Schizosaccharomyces pombe: one gene and its partner. The protein of the gene in region 2 purifies or fractionates together with the protein of the main gene of each other region. This does not show direct contact. Each region holds a gene or a part of one and is shown on either strand. Other genes may lie near its edges.

The links. The genes of interacting proteins can lie anywhere in the genome.
Region 1: the proteins of iss10 (region 2) and red5 purify together in Schizosaccharomyces pombe (affinity purification with mass spectrometry; 2 studies listed by BioGRID). This does not show direct contact.

The regions. Positions count from the first base shown.
Region 1 is NC_003423.3:1,049,596-1,054,115, forward strand, and holds red5 (zinc finger CCCH domain-containing protein), read left to right. Parts: upstream 1-2,007; 5' UTR 2,008-2,484; coding exon 2,485-2,527; exon of another isoform or gene 2,528-2,601; intron 2,602-2,737; exon of another isoform or gene 2,738-2,743; coding exon 2,744-2,773; exon of another isoform or gene 2,774-2,818; coding exon 2,819-3,876; 3' UTR 3,877-4,020; downstream 4,021-4,520. Other genes in the region: SPOM_SPBC337.11 (peptidase), read left to right, coding at 720-1,697; Gtr1/RagA G protein Gtr1, read right to left, coding at 4,183-4,520.
Region 2 is NC_003424.3:2,609,029-2,613,521, reverse strand, and holds iss10 (protein Iss10), read right to left. Parts: upstream 2,497-4,493; 5' UTR 2,423-2,496; coding exon 767-2,422; 3' UTR 520-766; downstream 1-519. Other genes in the region: SPOM_SPAC7D4.13C (uncharacterized protein), read right to left, coding at 1-139, 212-226; phosphatidylinositol-3,5-bisphosphate binding protein Atg1802, read left to right, coding at 2,818-2,861, 2,920-2,993, 3,068-3,174, 3,231-4,000, 4,041-4,053; serine/threonine protein phosphatase PP2A catalytic subunit Ppa1, read right to left, coding at 4,490-4,493.

The DNA.
Region 1 (4,520 bases), on a different chromosome or scaffold from region 2:
GTTGTAACGTATGTACAGACAATTAGAAAAAAGTCAAAAACTGTCTTCCTTTTACCGGTCTGAAAGTGGTAAAATTTTTCTTTTAATCAACGGATAAACAAAAAAGTTATCTGTAGATATAATATGAAAATTTCCACGCCTTAACGTTATGAAATGATCAATTATAGAGAAATAATACTCAAACAATAAAAAAAAGGAATGATTAGTATTTTGTTCTTGTTAAATTCTATTTACCACAAGTGGCGACGCTGTAAATTTAACCTGTTGATTGGTAATCCGTCAGCATGTCTTAAAATGAATAGAATCCAATCATGTGGCACTGTAAGGCATATAGCTAAAACAATATTGTGGTTTTCTTATATATCGTTATTTATGCTTATGAAGTACTGCGCATTTCGGTAAGTCATTGATTTCTACTTTGTTCATACTGATCGAACAAGTCAACGGAATCACCGGCTAATCGACTGAAATGTCGGGTCAAGTGAAAACTTGTGTTGTACTTTTGGCTGCACGCAACTATTTCCAGCTTTGAGAACCATTTTTTTGGTAATTTACATTTAATAGTCAAATATTTTTAGCCCTGTGTTTTTTCGAGAAATTTGATATTCGTATTTTGCCGTGGGTGTCATATACAAATTACATATCGACTGTATAAGATAATAATGATAACTTTATGTAAGACTAGAGGGTTTTTTACTTCAAAAAGAAGGATTTATTAAATGCAATACTATCAAATGATGAAGGCGTTACGAATGTTAAAAAAACCGAAGCCAGGTTGTTTGGGTATTGAAATTCAGAGTGTTCCTATTCCCCAACCAAAGAATGGAGAGTTGCTTGTAAAAATTGAAGCTGCTGCCATCAACCCCAGTGATCTAATGAACGCAACAGGGGGTTTCCCGTATACTGTTTATCCTCGAATCGTTGGGCGAGATTATGCTGGTACTGTAATTAGTGGCGCATCTCATTTAGTAGGAACTCGAGTGTTTGGAACGAGCGGTAGCGAACTATCATTCACTAAAGACGGTACTCATGCTGAATACTGCATAATACCGGAAAAAGCAGCTGTTCGTATGCCAAGCAATTTGTCGTTTACTGAGGCAGCATCAGTCGGTGTCCCTTTTACAACCGCTTATTTGGCTTTAAGCAGAGGAGAAACCAAAGGCAGCGATATAGTACTAGTGGTTGGAGCCTTAGGTGCTGTCGGGTCGGCTGTTTGTCAAATAGCAGAGGATTGGGGATGTAAGGTAATCACAGTGTCTAGGAGCGGCTCAACCGATATCAATACAGTGGTGGATCCGGAATTAAAAAGGGTCCACGAATTGGTTGAGAAAGTTGATGTGGTAATCGATACGGTGGGCGATCCTTTGTTGATGAAATCGGCTCTCAATCAATTGGGAATAGGGGGAAGGTTGTCTTATATTTCCGCACCTAAGCAAGGGAGTATAGAATTTTCGTATGACATGAAACAAATATATCGCAAAAATCTGAAGATTATTGGGTGCAATTCTCTCTTACTTTCGTTAGTGGAATCAAACTCACTATTAAAGAATATGGTCGCCAAGTTTGAAGCAGGGAAATATAAGGTATTAAACAAGAAAATTGCTGAAACATCTCTTACTGATGAATGTATAAATTCATATAGAAAACTTATGAATGAATGTTCTACAAAGTTTGTGATTACTATGAGCACAAATTAAGCGTCCGAAATACAGACTTACCAAATTGTTTTTTCTGTATAATCAGTAAATTTTAAAAGAACTATAAATATTTGCTTTGATCTTTCATATCGTTTATTATTATTATTATTATAAAGAGGTATCTATTCGTTAATGAAAAAAACAATTTTGAGCTACGCTTTAAAGAAGGATTATTTAAATTAAGTAAAAAGGATTTCATTATAATTAAAGCAATATTGTTTTAATACTGATAATTTAAGATAGTTTTTTTTAAAATATCGTTATAAAGCGTCGGTAATTACATTGATGCTACTCCGACATTGTTGGTGCCACCGACTACGCTACTCTAATCTGTCGACTTAGAAATACCTTACCACATCTAATTACTGTAAGAATTTATTTCAAGGACTTTTTCATAGTTTTTTTGTTTTTGTAACGACGTTTTCAAAAAGGTCATTGTCAAACATATAAGCTCTTGCCTGTCGTTAAAAAAAGTAAAGACCTTGGTTAATCGTTGTCGTTCAATTATTTGGGCATTTAACTTAAACAGTTTTGTTTAAGGAAAGGTTCTCAAAGACTTTTTTTTAAAAGATTCACTTATAGAACGAAAGACCATTAAAGTGGAAAACCACTCATTTTAAAACATTGAGCAAACAAGAGCTTTTGCATAATATATCAAGTGGTGGTTTAAAACAGGAAATACTTGGACGATTCAAGTTCAATAAAAGACATTAAAGCTGTTGGTTTATTTTACAAAAAAAAACATCCGTTCGTTATATTTATTTATTAGTTCTAGGCGGCATTCACAATGAACGAGCAACAATTGCTGGAAAATATTGCTTCATTAGCTGGTACGTTTTGATTAAATTGTATTAACGTCTTTTGATTGTCTGTTATACAGAATAAATTTGGTCGACTTTGAAGTTGGATTGGTTTAACTAATGAGCTTTTTGGTTTTTGAAACCAATGAATAATTAGGATTTTCAAGGAGACAGATTTTATGCAAAAAAATATCTTTATGTTTCTTTATTTATGAAACGCTCAGTAATAATATAACTAACCTTTAGGTGCTATCAATCAATATAAAAATGAAAAAGGTAAGATGCCCATTTATGAGGAACTTTGACTCATGATTTTAGCAGAACCTACCCAGGTTTTAGATGCCGCTAAAGCAAATAAGAATACTCGTTCGTATCCCTATTCTGTTTCTAGGAACTATTCTTTTATCCTCAATAAATCCAATCGCTCGAAATCGACAGCTGCTAGCCCTCCATATGTGATACCGTCAACATCATCGAATGCAGACGATGCCAATAAGGAACCTGAAAAACAATCCACATCTGACTATGTATCACGGAAAAACAGACATATGCAACTGATTAAAAAAAATATTCTTGAACATGATTTGCAAGCGAGAAAAGCTAATTTGGAGAGCTACAGAGCCAAGCTTGAGAAAGAATACAAAACTTTAGCCGAAAATAAAATCCAGCAAAGATTATCCGATGGTACTAAACAATTAGTAACTATTGACGGACTGCAGTATATTACCGGTGTATCTGATACCAAGTGGTTGGAATTTGTTAGTGCTAAGGGACAATGTCCAAAATATTTATATTGGAATAATAAGTCTTATCTTCTTAAAAAGAAGAGGTTTCTCAAGGAGGTTGGAAATTCACCTTCAGCTGTTTATTGCCGTTATTATAATGCTAATGGAATTTGTGGGAAGGGAGCAGCATGCAGATTCGTGCATGAGCCCACCCGCAAAACGATATGTCCGAAATTTTTGAATGGTCGATGTAATAAAGCAGAAGATTGTAATTTGTCACATGAATTAGATCCCAGACGAATTCCTGCATGCCGGTATTTTCTATTAGGAAAATGCAATAACCCAAATTGTCGATATGTGCACATTCATTACTCTGAAAATGCCCCTATATGTTTTGAATTTGCCAAGTACGGTTTCTGTGAGTTAGGGACGTCTTGCAAAAATCAACATATTCTTCAGTGTACCGATTATGCTATGTTTGGTTCGTGTAATAATCCACAATGCTCTCTCTATCATGGTGCTGTTTCCGCTGATGTACCAGAACAAACAGAAGCTCCAATATCGAAGACTGCTGGTTCTATAAATCCAGAAGACTCTGGATCGGAAATTGGAAGTAATTCCTTAGAAAGCAACTTGGATTTTATATCCGTTTAGATAATTCGTTTAGCAGTTTGATCTTGTAGAATTAAATTATCGTGTAGTTACGCAATGTCTAAACTTTTGATGATAATGAGTTATAATTTTCTATTAATTGAATACAATAAATTTTTAAAAAATATCATAAGATTTAGAAAGAAAATAGAAAAAGATTTCAACTAGTTGATAAAGAATATTATTTTTTAAAGACTAAAACTAAGAGGCTAGGTAATTACAGCAACAAGAGTAAAATACATTAGATCCACATTTTTTACGATTATCAAAGAAAAAAGAACAAGATTGATGGATCTATCAAACGGAAAATTAAGGTTGCAGTTGAATACCGTCCGAAGCGCTCTTTGAAGCTTCTATAAATCGTCGAGCACTTTGAATGTTCATAAGGGTTACTGCTGATTCGATTTCTGGATCAGCAATGACCACCAATATGTATGTGTCCTCAGTATATGGAACAATGAATGCAGAGAAATTACCACCACGAAGCTCAAAAGTAGTAAATTGAGCTTGCATTTTGCTACAACTGAGTTTAAATTGCTTAACAATATTGCTAATTTTTTCGAACCTGTGAGCATCAGTGGCAGGATTGGACTCAGAAGAATAAGAAGAAATAACCAAAAATGTTGTTCTTTCAAATAATATTACCT
Region 2 (4,493 bases):
ATCCAGTATATTCTTGAACTTTAAAAATGCTATGTGCATTTTCGGGATATTTAGTAATACATTTAACGCCCTTTAAAAATTCATTTTTCAGTTTCGTCTTTAAAAGTTGTATTGCTGAGTTTTTGATGTTATGAGTACCCTAGGTTTTAGTAGTTAGAGAAAGAAAGAGAAAAATAATGATATGTAATATTCATTCAAAAAGCTAACCTACAATAAATAGACTCATACGTCTAAATGAGTTGTTTCGACCGTCCGAATTTTGCTTTTATTAAGTCCAGTAGAATAATCGCTGTAGACGTAAGTAAAAGGTCTCTTATGTTACAGTCAATTAGGGTTTATGTGTCTTTTACATGCTAATGTTAACTAAAGAAACTTTTTCAAAATTTCTTCAATAATCTTGCATTTGGGAGCTTTAAAATTTGATTATCGAATAAGAAAGTAATATAACTATTCACATAATCCATAGTCTCTTTGTTTATTCACATCCATTAGAATAGGCTTACAAAGTACTTATACTATTTATGAAACGCCTCTTATTAATCATCTAAAAAAGTATTTATGTATAAATGAATTTGAAAATGTTAACTGAAAGTGCGAAACCAATTTATGCAACATGAATATTCTATCTACTATAATAAATGTACATCAAACATTACCAGTACTAAAGGTACTTAATTTTCTTTATAAGTTAAAACAAAAACATGCAAATTCAAATATTCCGCCAAGCAATTTTTAAATTGTTGCGCGCACTTACGGAAGAGTATAGCTAATAATCATAAAAGCTATGATGACGACGCCTCTCAATTTCCTCTGCTAATTCATAGTCGTTATAATAAGGCGCAGAAGGCTCATAAGTAGTATGCGTTAAAGGCATATGCTGCCGAGAAATACGAGAATCAGACATGTGAGGCGGACTTTCATAAACTCCATAAACTGAGGAAGTGGGGTAGTATGGAGAAATCTGTCTATGCCGTTTATGGTAATACGGAGAAAACGATGAATTGTTAGATTCGTATGAATAGTGCGTTTCAATAGGAGGCGGACGATTCAAATGGAGCAGGGAGCGATTTTCTAAAATTGGCTCCCAATTATATCTTGATTGATTTGAAAACTGAGAAGGGCTCTCATGAAGACGATGAATGCCATTATAAGGAGGAAGCGATTTACGGGAAAGAAAAGTGCCGTCATAGTCTACAGAATTCCTTATCCCCGGAGGTAGAATATAAGTATTTTGATGAGGGAAAGGATGAGAAGTTTGATCTAAAGAAACCGGTTTATCTAAAAGGACAGCAGAAGGACGAGGGTGAGGCATTATATCCTTATAATCCCGAGTTGACATGACATTGTTCTCCAAGGACAACTCAGGTATTCGATTGACTTGTAGCGATTGCAATTCCTTTGGATAGGGGATCCAAGATGGAGAATACGGATGCAAATCCGAAATTGGTGATTGATTTCCCAGAATGACAGACGGCTCTTCGTTTTTTACGGAGACAATTGAGTTTTTTTCATCTGATAAAGGAACCGAAGGAAACCTAGTAGAGCTAGGTCTTGTTGACTGGGGAGGTGAAGGAAGGCGAGGAGAAGTAAAAGCTTTGTTAATAAGTAGGTTATTGCCCTGCTCACTCGATTCCAAATGTTTAAGACACGGGACTGCAACGTTAGTTGCCCTCGGAGGAGAAGGAGCTGACACAAGCGATACGGGAAGCGCAGATGATGGTGGAGACGGCATATACAGGTTTGATAACTCCACTGATCCAGTATCATTTTTCAACGGACTACGGCGAAAAGTGTTCGGTTGATATGTCTCTTTATTCACATTTTTTTTATTTTCCTTAGGCGTTGATGAAGAATTGCTAGGAAGAACTGAAGAAGGATTAAAAGCTTGATTCCCATACAAAGATAAAGTACTCTTTGCTAACAATTTATTAGATTTTTCCGGTTTTGAGGACTCCTCTTGAGTCCCAGTAGAAGATTGTTTGCTAGTGTTTACAACGGGAGTAATATCCTCTTTCATCAAACCAGTGGCTTCAGGTTTTGTTTGACTATTAAGTAAGGAATTAAAATCACGGTTAATGTCTAGCCGTGGTAAATTAGTAGATGATTTAGAAAAACAGTTTTCGGACATAGATTCTCTGTTACTAAAACCTCCATTCTTAAATTCAGAAGGAGTATTTTCATCTCTGGTTTGTGCTTTGGGTGATGATTTCAGGAGTTTGTTATTACCTTCATCATTTGCAATTTCGACTTTCCGTTTAACAGAATCAAAATTTTTTAAAGATTTATGTAATCTATCTCTTAAAAATTTTAAACGAACATTGTTCGGAACCAAAAATTGTTGATGTTTCCCTTCAAACACAGTATCTCTAAAAGAAATTATTTTTTTGTATTCCTTCTCCACAGAAGGTTCAACGGCATCCATTAATATTTAAATTTAACCAAAACAATAAAAATTCATGAATTCCCAAAAAAAGTTTTATTCAACATTTGGATGTTGCCAAGATATACGCTCTTGAATGTGCGTAGAGGTGACCATTAAGGAGCGCTGCACCACTGTATATATTATCTTGCATAATACAAACATAACAAAAACATTCATTAATCAAAATTGCTAAAGGCTCAAATGGGTTCTTTTATATTCTGGATACTACAAAGTTAAGCTTTTGCATTGTACGAATCACATTATTTTTTGCTTCAATTACGCACACTGCCTTAGCACAAATCTGTTTTACTTTTACCATTGAACGTGATCAGCAATTGTATTAAGACAGGGGTGAATGTGAACTACTAAATAAATTAACAGTCGATTTAAGAGAAATGCCATCGATTATCCTTTACTGTTCGTGGAATCAAGATCGTGGGTAAGTGGCACACATAAAATAGATTTTGTGCAATCTTTGTACTGACTGCTAAATTTAGCTTTTTATCAATTGGTTCTGAGAATGGCTATCAAGTTTATCGCTCCAATCCGTTTACCCTGTGCTTTTCAAAAAGTAAGCTGTCAATGAATTTCCGAGAAGTGGAAACACAAGCCCATCTTACACGACTTATAACTTACTGATTGTAGAAGCCAATGGGGCAAGTATTTGTGAAATGCTTTATGAATCTTCTCTACTTGCTTTCGTGAATATTTCCCCTGAGTCGACGAGGTTACTAAAATTGGTTGACATCAAGGTAATTAGTTAACTGAGATTCTGCATTGATTTCTTAATTTTAACCCATATTTTTAGAGAGATATCGTTTTATGCCGAATATTTTATCCGAGTCCTGTGCTAAGTGTACGTTTCACATGGAATCGTTTAGTTGTTTTAATTAAAGGGAGTATTTACGTATATAATCTAAAAAACATGGAATTAATTAATACTCTAAATACCTCGAAAGGAAATGTTATAGCTTTTGCTGTTCATGAGAATTATGTTGCATATAATTCACCGACCAACCCTGGTGATATTTATTTAGCCTCATTGGATACTGCAATACCCGTCACATTGATTCATTGCCATTCTTCCGCTGTCCAAGTAGTTGACTTTCATCCGCGTGGACATTTGATTGCGACTGCATCCGCAAAGGGAACTGTAATCCGTGTTATAACAACTAGTGATGGTGAATTGGTGACAGAATTGCGCAGGGGATATATACCTGCATCCATTGTATCTATCTCATTTCACCCAGTTGAGCCTTTTCTGGCTTGTGCTTCTGAAAATGGTACTATTCACGTTTTCAAAATCTCTAAGCAACCATCGGATCCGAATTCGTCTCCTACATCTTCCGTAACTGTGTCATCTTCTTGGTCAAAATATTTAACTTCAAATGTAGCAAAAGTTTGGGACACTAGGAAAGAATTTGCAACTGCTAAGATTCCTGAAGCTTCTTTCTATGGAAAAATAATTTTTTCGAGCAGCGGTCCGCACATACAAGTAGCTTCTTATTCAGGACACTATTATCGGTTCGCAGTAAATCTTAAAAATGGAGGAAATTGTGCTTTACTTGAGCGTTACATGTAAGCTGTTTGTTAAATTTTCGATTATTAACATATCTAGCTTTGACGATTAACTTTTTGCGCACAAGTTTTAAATTTACTCATACATCAGCTTCACAATGTTTTAGCTTTCATGGTCTTATGTTTTTTTTTTATTTACTGAACATGCTATCATTTATGTTTAGACCTTTGTAGATAATTTATTAAAATGTTAATGTCGATAAGTTGGTGTTTCACTAATATATTATACACCGGTACAGATGTGAAAAATTATCATTACGGTAGACACCTTACAAGTGCATCATATATCCTATATAAATTTTATATGCATTCCATAAATTCAATATTTGTACCGAAACAGGAGAATTAAAAATTCGAAGATAACAACATTCTATTAGAAACCCATAAAATTAAAGTAAATTTTTAGCGGCACGTTGACAACGCTAAAATCCAACCATGAAAAATTCCAGCTATTAACAAGTCCAAGAAGAAAGTAAAACATACGATGACTTAT